Saccharomyces cerevisiae S288C: one gene and its partners. The protein of the gene in region 3 interacts with the protein of the main gene of each other region in a biochemical or structural test. Each region holds a gene or a part of one and is shown on either strand. Other genes may lie near its edges.

Region 1 (5,296 bases), on a different chromosome or scaffold from region 3:
CGTAAAGGATTGATGCCTTCTTGAATAAGAATATTGACATAGTTTTTGAAAATTTGTAAAAAACTTCTGGATAGTTTGAAATGAACCAAAAAAGCTTCAATCTGGCGGTATAAATCTTCGATTACCTCAACGGATATATCATTCAAATCATATCGTAAACCATTCTTAGGAAGATCGGTAACGTCTTCATACTCCAGATTTGTCGAATCAACCGGTGGAGAAGGAAGATGGAACGGCGGGTCTTCGAAAAAGCCTTCAGTTTTATTTAATTCTATAGGCTTTAAAGCGTTAACAATATACCTTTCTGCGCCTCCATGAATTAGTGATTCGGTGGAATCCGTTATTTGCCCTTGCTTGATGAGTACATCAGTGGGAATATTAGTTGGAGATGTCTCGGGTACGAATTTATCACGCAGAAGATTCTCCGTTGATTTATTTGTCGTGCCGAATTTGCCCATAACCTAGCACATATAGGCAATAGATTGTGATTAATAGGCCACCTTTATTTTTTTGTTGCTGCCTTCTTGAGTTTCCCATTGCCAATCTTCGCGCATCATGGCACTATCTATTTATTTTACCTATACATAATATTACCCTCCATTCGATAATAATAATAATAATAGTTAACACAGAAAAATGATGAGATACAGGTAGACTGTTCATTACAAAAACGTGGTTCTATGGTTCTATATATGTATGGTTATTTATTTACTTATTTATCCGTGCATTCTTTATCTAAATTCCTCTCCAGACACATTTTTCTACCAGATCGTAACTCTTGGTGCTTTGAAACTTAATGAGACCCATGTTTTCAAAGGCGAAGATTGCTTGCATGAATAAAATTAGTGCTACTTTGTCAAATGCGTCCGGTGTTTCTGCTAGTTCTAAGAGTTTGGTGTTGGAGGGATCTTTTCTTATGAAATTTAATATTTCCTCTTTTGGTAATGTTTCTCTGAACGCAATGTAGAAATCGTAAATGTTGATAGTCATATTCGCCTCACGATAAAGCTTGAATAGCTGACCCAGTACCGGAGCCATTATTTTATCCAAATCTCCAGAAAGAGTATCATAATTTTCTTTATCAAGCGAAGGCAGCACCTGCTCCCAACTTAGTAAGTTATCTTCGATATTTGACTTGTAAGAAGGGAAAATCGACTGGGTAAGTAATCCACTTCTGTTGTCCAAAGTAAATAGCTCTTGAAAAATTGTATCAATGGGTTCAAAATGAAGCCGATCCTTATACTCTTTACATGCTGACCAACGATCTAGATAGGAGTCTAGTTTGCCAATAAGCAAATTATGATATAATTCTATCAGATTAAAATTGGTTATATTCAATTCTTCTTCGAGGAATCGAGCAACAAACTTAGCATGCCCGTTAATCGGGTTCTCTCTTACCAAAAACTCAACAAAAAACTCTTCTAGGCCTCTGTTTTTGTTTGTCAATAATGAAAGAATTTCGTCAGCAGGAGCATGCTGCTTTATAAGACCTTCGACAAAGAACATGAATGTAGGACATCTGCTCAGTATTTTTAAGTAGTCGTCGTTCAAAAAATCAACATTTACAGGGTCAATGAATACTGAAAAGGCATTCTGGAAAAAGTACGACATCAACGAATAATCCAGCATCTTCGTCAATAATTGTAAGTTGTGATTAGTATTATTTGCCATCTTGCTGAGAATGAATTCCACAAAACGATCTGAAAGATTTAGTTTGCCATCAACCGTATCCAAAAAGCTTTGAAAGATTTGGTTTCCGTACTTAAATCCTTTATTACTCGACACGTCTAGTTTATGATAATTTCTCTTCAGAAGTCGTATGGTTGATTGTCTCAAATTTTTCTCAATATTTGACAAGTTTGTATTAATATTAAAGATTAAACTTATTTTAACATGGTCATACTTGAAGGCACTTTTCAATAGAATTATGAAGTTATCCAATGTGTTGAAGTTAATAGAATCTACATCTTTAAAATTAAATACCATTGCTAAGTCTTTTCCAAAAAGCCTTTTGAAGTTTTCCACAAGTGACAGATCGTATGATACATCATTGTTTTGCTCGGTAAAATCGCCATCTTCATCGTTAATGTCTTCATACTTGATAGTTGGATGTTCTTCTGCATCAGCTGCGCTGTAAAGTTTGTACATAGACCTACGAAGCATCATTCTTACATTCGGAGATTCTTTCGGAGTCAATTCAATCAAAACGTTGTAGCGAGAAGATTCGTCTTTAAGTTCAATTTTTGTCGTACTATCTGAACCTAATAGGAAAATAGTGTTAAAGCATCGCCTTTTCTGAGTAGTTTCACTATATAAAAGGTCTGAAATCTCTGCTTTCAAGTCTGCTTCAATATTATCGATAATATGATCTACTTGATCATGAAAGTGGGAATGTAACTGATGATACAATTCCCATCTTTTTTCCACGTTCACTTCCGATTCTTTGCCTGATAGAAGTTTGACAAAGGGAATGTGTTTATCATTTTTGTTACTTTGAGGCAAACTGGGGTATACTGTATAGTGGCTCCTTTGGGCGTCAGCAAACTCGCTGACGTTCATCTTTTTGGATTGGTTAAGGTCGCTCATCCTGTTGGACTACTCTTGTGATACTACGACTCTGTATGTAAACAATGCCATCTTTTGTCACTTTTCTTTTTCTTCAAATTACGGTGCGGAAAAATACGTCAGTAAATATCAAAAAGACACTAAAAAAGGCGTTAGTGGTAATGGAAGGTAAAAAAAATTCTTACCATCTAACAGAATGCTTAGTTCCATTATCATCACGTGTAGCGTTTCTGCTGGTCTTACTAAATATAAAGATAATAAAACAGCAGGTAATGAAACATTACTCTTGTGAAATTGTCAAGCCTGTCTCGTAACGCAACCAACGACAACCCTTCATCTCCAGTATAGTTTCAAGTTTCTGGAAAAGATTGTCTTTTCCACCTTTTTTTATTTTTTTTTCCTATTAAAAAAAAAGCTATTCTACAAAAAATTCTTTATGACACAAATTATAGCGTGTTTAAAAATTAAACAAATGTGCAAAGTATATTCACAGTAGACAAACTTCAGGAACTCTTTTTCAAAAACAAGAAAAAGACTTACCAAGAAGATGAATGCTACTAAAGAACTGACTTTTAATTTACTGAATAAATTTCAAGACAAAGAAAGATTTGGATCTGCGCAAAGACATGCTGGAATCTCACTAAAAGGGTTCATATCTGGTATATTGTTTTCTTTTTTGTACTTTTTATTTCAGCTGTCACTCTTTATTATTTTAAGATCAAGATTCAAGACTATATATCAGGCCAATGTCGTTCTGAAAATCCATCCAGGTTCTAAAGTTTGTTTTGCTAAGAAAAAAATAAAAAATTATTGGTCATTATTTGCATTTCTCAAGCAACTTCCCGGAAGAATGTTAGATCCTATGGAAAAATTCGAACGAAACGAAAGGTATGGCCTAGACAATTATCTATTTTTACGGTTTCTCAAACTTTTGATATTCTTTTTTGCAGTGTTATCAATTATCAACATTCCAATACTAATTCCAATCCATTATTTTTCCAGGGATATTTTGAAAGAAAATGAAGGTGAACGTTATGAGCAAAGTTTCAGGACGACAAGTAAACTTGACAAGTGGACCATGTCAAATCTATCACCTAATTCATCGAATACTTTAATCTGTCACTTGTTTTTGAGTATCTTTGTTGTACTCTGGTTTCACTTCATTCTTTCTTCGGAACTGAGGTTCGTTAATCGACTAGGATATTCCGTTTTGACGAAAAGTAAATACCAAAACATTCTATATTTGGAAGGATTCTCAAGTAAATTGGTTACCCAAAGTATTTCTTTAGAAACTTTTTTTCAGCCGCTACACAGTGATTGCTTTGGCGTGACGCATTTCATTCCAAAAAATTTGAAGAAAGTCCACAAATTAGAAATAAAGTTAAATAAATTACAAAAATCAAAAGAACAAATTATCTTTGAGATTATTTTAGAGAAATATTTTAGAAGAGTTTCAATACACAGGCATTTGATAGCAAATCACAAAAGATTTTTCTTTTCAAAGTTGAAAAACCATCTATTATTTCAGTACAAAAAATTGGTATTTTTAACTCAATTTAGAATTTCATACTATTGCACAAAAATTCGTCTGCGCTGGAAAAAGTCAAGCATCTTTCCGTTATATTACCCTAAACTGTATGTAAATACAGAAACAATATTAGAAAGGAAATACAGAATCCTTGATAAAATAATACGCAAGGAAAAACTCATTAAATTCCAAGTAAATTCCTTGAAAGCAACTTCAGAAACCAAGCAGGCACTGCCCGACGATTTATCGTCGGGCACAGACATTTATATGGATAAGATGTTCATTACCTTCAAGTCCACATTATTGTCAAACGTTATAGGTGAGTTGCTTTCGTATAGACTACCCACCCAAAATTTAAAAGTAATAATAGGCCCCAATGTTAATGACATTATTTGGAGAAATATCCTCGATTCATCACCCCTTTGGAAAAGTGCCAAATATTTCTCGGCAAATATATTGCGAATTTTTGTGATTATAGGCTGGATTTTGCCTGTCGCGTTCCTTGGGTTAATATCACAAATACCAAATATTTCCTCACTAATACCGTTTACAAAAATAATTCATTTCCAATCTCCATTTATAAGAGAAGTGGCAAAGAATTTGATTCCAATAGTAACCTTAATAATAATAATAGAAATCGTACCCTACTTTTTCCGTTGGCTGAGTTACCTTCGAGGGTTGAAAACTGGAGCGCAAATAGAAGCTGATGTCCAGAATTGGTATTTCGTCTTTGTCTTCATTCATCTTTTCGTAGTTGTTACAATATCTTCTGGATTTTCTATAATTATTGAGAGGCTTCTTAACAATCCTGTCAGTATCCCTGCTCTCCTGGCCAACGACTTGCCTAAATGCGCAAACTTTTTCTGTTCTTTTGTTTTGATTAGGGGAATGGCTTATGCAGGCGGTAATTTGTTAAGAATAAAAGAGCTACTTTTTGAATTGTTCTACTATAAATGGAAAAGGAGTACTCCACATGCTCAATTTAAGAGGTTAAAGACATCTTTATTTTTCCAACTAGGATCTATTTATCCTATATTCTCAGTGTTGGGCTGTATTGGTATCATATACAGTGTTGTTGCTCCTATTATATTATTATTATGTTGCATCTCATTTTCGATGGTTTTCTTTTCTTTCAGTTACTTGTTCAAATACCAATATAACAAAGAGAACTATTCTGAAACGTTCGGTAAATTGTACATACAG
Region 2 (5,296 bases), 450 kb from region 3:
CTTCCAATCGGGAGATGATGAAGAAAATAAAGAAACTGTAACAAATAATGAAAATGTAAATAATACTAATGATCGGGATGAAGATATGGAACTAACAGATGATGTTGAAGAAGATGCAAGTACAGAGCCAGAATTAACAGATAAGCCAGAGGCGTTAGATAAAATTAAGGATAGCTTGACTTCCACTCCGTTTGCGATTCTTTCTATGAATGATATTATTGTTTGTGAGTGGAGCGAATTGGGTTCAAATGAGGCATTTTCCGATGATAAAATATATAACTGGGAAAATCCAGCTACTTTGCCTAACAAAGAGTTGGAGAACGCTAAGTTGGAAAGATCTAACGCTAAGGAAAGAACCATAACCTTGGACGATTGTCTCCAATTATTTTCCAAACCAGAAATACTAGGATTAACCGATTCGTGGTACTGCCCTACATGCAAGGAACATCGTCAGGCTACCAAACAAATACAACTTTGGAATACACCAGATATTCTGCTAATTCACCTTAAAAGGTTTGAAAGTCAAAGGTCTTTTAGCGATAAAATTGATGCCACGGTTAATTTCCCCATTACAGATTTGGATCTGTCGAGGTACGTTGTCTATAAAGATGATCCCAGAGGTTTAATCTATGACCTGTATGCAGTAGATAACCACTATGGTGGTTTGGGTGGTGGGCACTATACCGCGTACGTAAAGAATTTTGCCGACAATAAATGGTACTATTTTGATGATTCTCGAGTAACTGAAACTGCGCCAGAAAATAGTATAGCTGGATCGGCTTATTTGCTATTTTACATTCGCCGTCATAAAGATGGCAATGGATTAGGCAGCTCTAAACTACAGGAAATAATCCAAAAGTCACGCCACGGATATGATGAGCGTATCAAAAAGATATACGATGAACAGATGAAGTTGTATGAATTTAATAAGACTGACGAGGAGGAAGATGTTTCTGATGATATGATAGAATGTAATGAAGATGTGCAGGCCCCTGAATATAGTAATCGTAGTTTGGAGGTTGGGCATATTGAAACTCAGGACTGCAACGACGAAGATGACAATGATGATGGTGAGAGGACAAATTCAGGTAGGAGAAAGTTAAGATTGTTGAAAAAAGTCTACAAGAATAATTCAGGCTTGGGTTCATCGAGTACGTCTGAAATATCTGAGGGATGCCCAGAAAACGAAGTCGCTGATTTGAATTTAAAAAATGGTGTGACACTAGAATCGCCAGAATAATGACATGAGTTTATATGATAGATAAAATTAATAAATTTCCACATGTATAATACTTTTCAATCTTTTTCGCCTACTATTTACTGCCTAGGCTAATAAATTATATGTTTTTGTCCTGGGCGCGACATTCCAAAAAAAAAATAAAAAAGAAGAGAAAATACTGGCTTATGAATACAAAAATTACATAAACGAAGCAAAATGATTATTTCGAATAAAACAGTCTATATATAAGTCAAATACAAGATAGGAAGAAAAACAGAAAAAAACAAAACAGAAGGACTGGTTAATTGTTTTTGTTGATCTTCTTCTTACCACTAGCACTTCCACGTTTGTAAACCTCAATATAGAAAGAGATGAACAAAAACAAGTAGGATGTAAGAATGGCTGCACCAGCAGCAATAGCCGTCATTGAACCTAAGCAATCCTCACACTGTGGAGTACAAGCATTTTTGAAATATGCAGCAACAATCTTCTGATAAAGCACGTAATAAACGACAATGAGATCAAGCATGAACTGCACAATTTGTAGTCTTGTAACCCAGGCTTTCCACCAAACACGAATTCCGCTAGCAGAAAGGAAATAATACCAATACATAAGAACGTGAACAGCTAAGTTTAAGGTGACAGGAACCCATGTAACTGCTGTGTAACCAACCAATTGATTATAGCACAGTAAAGCTGTAGCACCATGATGGTATGTATGTAGGAAAGTCAACTTTCTATGTTTCAACACCATCAAGACAGTGTCTGCGAACTCCACAAACTTTGTCATATAGTTGAGATAATATAATGTCTCCATCGGTTGCGTCCACGATTCAACATTACAAACAGCAAAATACAGCCCATGGCGATACACTATGGGTAGCATCTGTTCCACCATCAAAATCAACCATAAAAAGGAAACAGAAGTCAACATCAAGTTATGGACTTGAGAAATAAATCTCAACTTGAGAGGTTTACATGACTTTACCAGGGACCTCCCGCCAAATATAACCACATAATACATGGCAATAAAAAGCAGTACCGGACGAGGTTCACTCAAAGGCTGCTTCCCAACGGTAAACTCAAAATCCTTTGGCTGGAAGCGACCTGCAGTGGCCCACCCAACCGCACGATTGAAATAGTCCCACAAATAAATATTAAAAAAAGGCCTATCTATTGTTGGGCGAAACCTAGAGGCTTTCTCGAGGCAAAAATTTTTCCAATCACTTACCATACTTGCTTGCAAATTTAGCTCTCAAGTTCCTTAAAATTGATAAGGTATCCTACCTTAATATTCATATCAGTTAGTCTTATATACTTCTACCTCTTTTTCTGGCTTCCTTTCTTTCCCTTATGTCCTTCGGTTTACTAATCCGTAAAGCCGACGCGGGTAAGCCAAGACCCTGAGTTTAGAACTAATATTTCGTCACGTCACGTAAGTGCAAGGTAATAAAAGCAGCAGAAATATCTGTAGTTTCAACAAAATATGTCTGGCTTGCGATTTGTTGTGTTTTGAAACTAGTTGCTAGTCTGCATTCCTTTGTTTTCCCTGAATTACCCAAAGAAGAAAGCGACGCGAGGCCTCACGCGTCGGAGTTTCCAGATCAGGAAATTACCCACTTAGGAAATTGAGTTGGCTGGCAGAAAAGATATAACGCCATCTTGAAAAATAGTATTAGTTAGTCTATTTTTTCATTTATATAGTAGAGGTATATTCTCTGGAAGAACAATTTTGGAATATTCAGAACACTGCGCTGCACTATTTTCATCAATAGTACCATATACGTTCATGTCAGCTATACCAATAACTCCAACTAAGCGTATCAGAAGAAATCTATTTGACGATGCTCCAGCAACGCCTCCACGACCTTTGAAAAGAAAAAAGTTGCAGTTCACAGATGTTACACCAGAATCATCCCCAGAAAAACTGCAGTTTGGCTCACAGTCTATTTTTTTGAGGACAAAGGCACTTTTGCAGAAGTCATCTGAGCTAGTCAACTTGAATAGCAGCGATGGTGCATTGCCAGCAAGAACAGCAGAGTACGAACAAGTTATGAATTTTTTGGCGAAGGCAATTTCTGAACACAGGTCCGATTCACTGTACATCACGGGTCCGCCTGGCACTGGCAAGACTGCCCAGCTTGATATGATTATAAGACAGAAGTTCCAGTCCCTCCCATTGTCGCTCTCCACGCCACGCTCGAAGGACGTGCTGAGACATACGAATCCGAACTTGCAGAATTTGTCCTGGTTTGAATTGCCCGATGGAAGGCTAGAATCCGTGGCGGTAACCAGTATTAATTGTATATCGTTGGGAGAGCCGTCCTCCATTTTCCAGAAGATTTTCGATTCCTTCCAAGATCTGAATGGCCCAACATTGCAAATAAAAAACATGCAGCATCTACAGAAGTTCTTAGAGCCTTATCATAAGAAAACTACGTTTGTGGTTGTGTTGGACGAGATGGACAGGCTATTGCATGCTAACACGAGCGAGACACAATCAGTTAGAACTATTCTTGAATTATTCCTTTTGGCGAAATTGCCTACTGTGAGTTTTGTGTTAATCGGTATGGCTAATAGTCTAGATATGAAAGATAGGTTTCTTTCCAGGTTAAATTTGGACAGAGGGTTGTTACCGCAAACTATAGTTTTTCAGCCATACACTGCTGAGCAAATGTATGAAATCGTCATTCAAAAAATGAGTAGTCTGCCCACTATTATCTTCCAACCGATGGCCATCAAATTCGCAGCAAAGAAGTGTGCTGGAAATACGGGTGACCTTCGAAAACTTTTTGATGTCTTAAGGGGAAGTATCGAAATCTATGAGTTAGAAAAGCGGTTTCTGCTTTCACCAACAAGAGGATCATTGAACTCTGCGCAAGTTCCTTTGACGCCAACTACTTCTCCGGTAAAGAAATCGTATCCAGAACCACAAGGTAAAATAGGCTTGAACTACATAGCCAAGGTCTTCTCAAAATTCGTGAACAATAATTCTACGAGAACGAGGATAGCCAAACTAAACATCCAGCAAAAATTAATTCTTTGCACCATAATTCAATCACTGAAGCTAAATTCCGATGCTACAATCGACGAATCGTTTGATCATTATATCAAAGCGATAACAAAAACTGATACTTTAGCACCATTGCAGAGAAATGAATTTTTGGAAATCTGTACAATTTTAGAAACTTGTGGGCTGGTTTCAATCAAAAAGACAAAGTGTAAAGGGAAAACCAAGAGATTTGTTGATAAGATTGATGTTGATCTCGACATGCGAGAATTTTATGATGAGATGACCAAAATTTCAATTTTGAAACCTTTCCTTCACTAGTCAGCTAATAGATTTATTTTTTCTTTTTTTTTTACAGTTCCACTTGCATCCCTCATTTTTCACATTCCTTTTTTTATAGAAAAGCATATCACTATATAAAAATTCTATTATAGTTGTAACAGCATAGCATATTATAGACTTTTTTTTTCTGGAAACGGTTAAACCGTTTGGCTGAGATGCAATGATATACGCAACATTGCATTCAAAGAAATTGCAAAAAAGACACAATAAAACGTAATTTGTACAAATATTTTACTATCATTAGCTACTGGATGCAGAATGGATGATTGTTAGGGGGAGGTGGGGTACAATTGTTTGTTTTTGATACATTTTCTCTTTCAAATCGCAACCAATTCACTCTGCTAATGTGATAACAATGGCGCCTGTCGGAAAGGTGAAAAAAAAAAAATGCAAACAAATAAATTGGCACGGTGTGACATATGCCTTCTATAATAATGAAGGAACTCGAAGAAAAAGGGGAAAACGATGTTTCAACAGCTGTCGGCATCCATTAGGCACAATGCACACATAATTTTTTTATGCATAAGTTGGTATTTTATTTCATCGTTGGCATCTCAGGTAACGAAGCAGGTACTAACGGTTTGCCCATTACCACTTTTTTTGGGTGAGTTTCAGTTCATTTATACTGCTGTGCTAGCATGGTTTACGTGTTATATTGCATATAGTTTCCCAGGATTCTATCGCATATTTCCTAATGGTACTTTTCCGGAATATTATATCGACGA
Region 3 (5,296 bases):
TTGCCTGTTTTTTCGCCCTATTGTTCTCGAGCCTAAAAATTTTTTCCTTTCCTGCTTTCCTTTCTTCGTTCAAAGTTTCCTATTCCATTGTTCTCTTTGGTAAACTCATTGTTGTCGGAACTCAGATATATTCAGGTCAATTTACTGTACTTCAATTGACTTTTTTCTTGAAATTTCAACTTGCCTTTTCAACTTGTTCTTCTTTTTTAATCTTATTCTACACTTTAGTTCCCTTACCTTGTTCCTAATTATTGTCTAGCAAAAAGAAAACATACACCTATTTCATTCACACACTAAAACATGTCTGACGAAGAACACACCTTTGAAAATGCTGACGCTGGTGCCTCCGCCACCTACCCAATGCAATGTTCTGCCTTGAGAAAGAATGGTTTCGTTGTCATCAAAGGTAGACCATGTAAGATTGTCGACATGTCCACTTCCAAGACCGGTAAGCACGGTCACGCCAAGGTCCATTTGGTTACCCTTGATATCTTCACTGGTAAGAAGTTGGAAGATTTGTCTCCATCCACTCACAACTTGGAAGTTCCATTTGTCAAGAGAAGCGAATACCAATTGTTGGATATTGATGATGGCTACTTGTCCTTGATGACCATGGACGGTGAAACCAAAGACGATGTCAAGGCACCAGAAGGTGAATTGGGTGACAGCATGCAAGCTGCTTTCGATGAAGGTAAGGATTTGATGGTCACTATCATTTCTGCCATGGGTGAAGAAGCTGCCATCTCCTTCAAGGAAGCTCCAAGATCTGATTAGATATTTTAGATTTCTATAGCTTACAAAATACGCGATGTTTTTTTGATCTAGAAATCTTATTTATACATTTTATATAATATTATAATAATCATAATCATAATTATTCATCCTAACTAACTTCGTTCTGTTTCAGCTACGAAGTTGCCTTCATTATCGCTACGTTCGTGTTAATTGGTGTTTGATACCATAGTCACTTATGACGACGTGCAGAACTTTTTTTTTTGACGGATATTTTCCCCTCAATATGCCGAGGATGATTACTTTATAATTTGCCTTCTTTCGGTTCCTTCTTCTTTTTAATTTAGCTGACGGGAACATGTGTATATACCCCAGAAGAATTTAAACAGAAATTTTTTTGAGCATTTTACGAAAATATTAAAAACTAGGGCTACAGATATCAGAGAAAAAATTACTTATATGATGACAATAACTTAATATCACAGTCACTATCGTTCTCGCCTTTATATGCGCAGTGACAGCATTCGACTTTTCCTTGGAAGGGACCCGATCAACGAAACTTCAAAAAGAGTAGAAGTCAAAATATTTTTTGCACGACGAGGGTGACAGACCGTGCTATGTCCACAAATGAGGCCCTGCTTTCCCAAGATAAATTGCGTAAACATATAATTGTTACAAATCCAAGGCTCTGTGATTTCTTCACCAAGTGTAGTTGTGATGTATGATGTGTAGGATAAGTAATGACCGGTAAATCAAGCTGGTAAAAAGTCCTAATAACAAGCCCGAATCTGGAATAATGGTAATATTCCCATGCCAGGTGGACAGTGTTGTCCTTAAACAAACTCAAGAGATTAAAGGCAACTTGGCCGAGTGGTTAAGGCGAAAGATTAGAAATCTTTTGGGCTTTGCCCGCGCAGGTTCGAGTCCTGCAGTTGTCGTTATTTTTTATTTCCCTTTCTTTTCGTACATACACAATGCACAGTCTTCAAAGTAAAATACCAACGTATGTATCAAGATCAATTTTTTTTCTTTTTTTTTTTTTTTTACCGTAAATGTACGTATTCTACCTTATATCTAAAAATATTCTTCAATCTTGTTGTTTTGATTTGTGGATTTGCAACAGCTTAGAAAATCTGTTTTTATCCAAACTGTTCCATCTATAAACTTTTAACCCACCATCCACTTGATGAACAGATATGTCCATTGGTAGGATACCTTGTAGCCCAGCTAAAATTTCACTTGCTTCTTTTGTACCGATAGGATTATTACTATCTTGTAAACTATCTACGATTAGCGAGCTTAGATATGTCTCTGTATAAGGCTGGCCCCTGGTCAGCGAAAAAAGAATATCAAATACCTGAGTCATTTTCATCGCTAGAAACTGCTGGTAACGTTTTTGCCTTTGAGAAAGCAATGCGGCCGAACGTCTCTCTCTTTCACGCAGTCTGTCCATAAGGTTTGCTTGCGAATCAGGCATCTTCTCTTTGTACATGAAATTTTCCTTACTATTCGCCAAATATCTTGAGTTATTCAAGGCATTAGCATTAGAGCTCTTCGTTTGCACTTTACTGCTCAAGACTGTTTTAGAATTAGAGCTGGACCTTCTTTTATTTATTTTGAAAGCGGGTACATCAGTCATAATCTCATCCTTGGAAGCTATCACTTGTTGGTACCACGACTCTGCCCTTTCCACGAATGCCAAAGTCCTAGACTTATTGGTCAACGTTGTTAGATTGTCTCTTTTGGGTAGATTCATGGTCAGCTCCCCTCTAGAGTTCAGTTCCACTACGTATGCATCAGACCAAATGGTCAATAACTTCAAAATATCATCCTGCACTATTTTCCTTTTCATCATGCTGGATATCTGGGGTAACAAAACGTGCAGCTCTGGTGGGACGCCCGTGGATCTGGAAAGAGCGTTTAAAGACAATACAGTCTCGCAAACAGTAAACAACTCCTTAACAAACTTCATTGCGTCTTGGAGTCTTAGAATACTAAGCTCCCGTGGGTAGTATTGCTGAGCGACTTTTGGGAAAGCCTTAATTTGTTGCTCCAACAAATGATTGGCAATCGTACCCTCTCCTTTACTCGAGATTGGCGTAGTAAGTGGAGGCCAGATGGTCAACGAAACAATGTTCGCACGAGGATCTATCTGGAGTGGTGAGGTAGTGTGCATACCTTGAGACCAGCGCGCAAGGAGGGTCCCCGTGTGGAACAGAAGACAATCGGGTTCATCAATACTCACCCAAGAATTGTCCGTCGTCGCCATAGTCGATGGCTTGTACCTTATAGCCTTGGCACAGGGGAAGATGGTCAACACGCCCGTCGGAAGAAAAGTAACATAGTCCCTTTCAAACAGGTACTGGAAATCGTCGCCAGTGGGCAGCACGGTAGCACCTGCATCTGCACCATCGTGTGTACTACCATTATCATTGAAATAACGGGTCAGCTTAGTCGCATAATGAGAGGTGCTGATACAGTCTTGCAATTCTGCGCTAGAAACCACACTTTTCACACACAGTTGGGCGAAAAACAGACCCAGTTTGAACAGCCTACTATATATGGAGCACAGTGACTCATTCCTGCACTTCCGATCGAAGCGTAATTGAGGATCAGTGTCAAATATGTACTGCTCCAGCCAAACATCATCTTCTAGCGGTAATGTACCCGTAAAGTTCGCATCAAAACCTTGACTCGTGTCAGGCAGGTCCTTTGTCGTGAGCCCCGCTAGTAGTGCATCTAGAACAGCCTTGTTAGCATAATTTTTTAACAGAAAGGTGTCATGCTGTAGCAAAATTGCCCTCACCACCGGCAACAGCTGCTCTTCATCTGAAACTCTATTCAAATCTATCACAGGCACGCGCAAAACCTCCTTCCTCCTACTATTAGCTGTGCCACTCATAAATCACGACGCTACGTAGTTCAGCTCACTGTCATGATACCAACTACCGCAACTAACATCTGCTTATATTAAACTCTTCCGCATCATCGCAATGGTACAATGTGCTAAAGCTAGTGCCTTAGATGCGCTGAATAATTGTATATCACCCACAACGGCAGAGCTTTTCCATGGGCTTCGGCCCGGTTCCACCGCCCCCTGCCTCTTTTTCCGGTGACCGCTTACGGTGCGGTGTATAAAAACGAACGATCCAACGCCGGCTCGACGCTTGGGAACTTTTGGGTTCTTTGTTCCACGTTTGAAAACTCCATACGTTGCTGTCCTCCTCTGCCTGCTGTACATATCGACGCCCCGCTGCTCACCAACCTTTGCCAGAGTGACAACTTTTGTATTTACGACCCATTTAATATAATTAAGACTACACAAATCTCATATTATACGCACCAAGATGCTTGCTGCTAAAAACATACTAAACAGGTCAAGCTTGTCTAGCTCTTTCCGTATTGCCACACGTTTGCAGTCAACCAAGGTTCAAGGTTCCGTCATCGGTATCGATTTGGGTACCACCAACTCTGCGGTTGCCATTATGGAAGGTAAAGTTCCAAAAATTATTGAAAACGCCGAAGGTTCCAGAACTACTCCTTCTGTAGTAGCTTTCACTAAAGAGGGAGAACGTTTGGTTGGTATTCCAGCCAAGCGTCAAGCCGTAGTGAACCCAGAAAACACCCTATTTGCTACCAAGCGTTTGATTGGTCGTCGTTTCGAAGACGCTGAAGTGCAAAGAGATATCAAGCAAGTTCCATACAAGATCGTCAAGCACTCCAACGGGGATGCTTGGGTTGAGGCCAGAGGTCAAACTTACTCACCAGCCCAAATCGGTGGGTTCGTCTTGAACAAGATGAAGGAAACAGCTGAGGCCTACTTGGGTAAGCCAGTTAAGAATGCTGTTGTCACTGTCCCAGCTTATTTCAACGACTCTCAAAGACAAGCTACTAAAGACGCAGGCCAAATTGTTGGTTTGAACGTTTTACGTGTCGTCAATGAACCAACCGCCGCTGCCTTAGCTTACGGTTTGGAAAAATCCGACTCTAAAGTTGTTGCCGTTTTCGATTTGGGTGGTGGTACTTTCGATATCTCCATCTTAGATATTGACAACGGTGTTTTTGAAGTTAAGTCCACTAACGGTGACACTCATTTGGGTGGTGAAGATTTCGACATCTATTTGTTGAGAGAGATTGTTTCTCGTTTCAAGACCGAAACTGGTATTGATTTGGAAAATGACCGTATGGCTATCCAAAGAATTAGAGAAGCTGCTGAAAAGGCTAAGATTGAGCTATCTTCTACCGTTTCCACTGAAATCAACCTGCCATTTATCACTGCTGATGCCTCAGGTCCAAAGCATATCAACATGAAGTTCTCCAGGGCTCAATTCGAGACTTTGACAGCCCCACTAGTTAAGAGAACTGTCGACCCAGTCAAGAAGGCTTTGAAAGACGCCGGTTTGTCTACTTCAGACATATCTGAAGTCTTATTGGTCGGTGGTATGTCCAGAATGCCTAAGGTTGTCGAAACCGTTAAATCTTTGTTTGGTAAGGACCCATCTAAGGCCGTCAACCCAGATGAAGCTGTTGCCATTGGTGCTGCTGTGCAAGGTGCTGTCTTGTC

Evidence for each region.
Region 1: the proteins of TAH11 (region 3) and ORC3 form a complex in vitro, tested with the Saccharomyces cerevisiae proteins (one study listed by BioGRID).
Region 2: the proteins of TAH11 (region 3) and CDC6 form a complex in vitro, tested with the Saccharomyces cerevisiae proteins (2 studies listed by BioGRID).

Annotation. Positions count from the first base shown.
Region 1 is NC_001144.5:138,363-143,658, reverse strand, and holds ORC3 (origin recognition complex subunit 3), read right to left. Parts: upstream 2,587-5,296; coding exon 736-2,586; downstream 1-735. Other genes in the region: SFI1 (Sfi1p), read right to left, coding at 1-458; SPO75 (Spo75p), read left to right, coding at 3,113-5,296. UniProt on the Saccharomyces cerevisiae protein: Component of the origin recognition complex (ORC) that binds origins of replication. It has a role in both chromosomal replication and mating type transcriptional silencing. Binds to the ARS consensus sequence (ACS) of origins of replication.
Region 2 is NC_001142.9:66,330-71,625, forward strand, and holds CDC6 (AAA family ATPase CDC6), read left to right. Parts: upstream 1-3,008; coding exon 3,009-4,550; downstream 4,551-5,296. Other genes in the region: putative ubiquitin-specific protease UBP12, read left to right, coding at 1-1,240; fatty acid elongase ELO1, read right to left, coding at 1,521-2,453; YJL193W (uncharacterized protein), read left to right, coding at 5,037-5,296. UniProt on the Saccharomyces cerevisiae protein: Plays a crucial role in forming the pre-replicative complexes.
Region 3 is NC_001142.9:520,386-525,681, reverse strand, and holds TAH11 (Tah11p), read right to left. Parts: upstream 3,635-5,296; coding exon 1,820-3,634; downstream 1-1,819. Other genes in the region: ANB1 (translation elongation factor eIF-5A), read left to right, coding at 301-774; Hsp70 family ATPase SSC1, read left to right, coding at 4,080-5,296. UniProt on the Saccharomyces cerevisiae protein: DNA replication licensing factor, required for pre-replication complex assembly. Faithful duplication of the genetic material requires 'once per cell cycle' DNA replication initiation and elongation.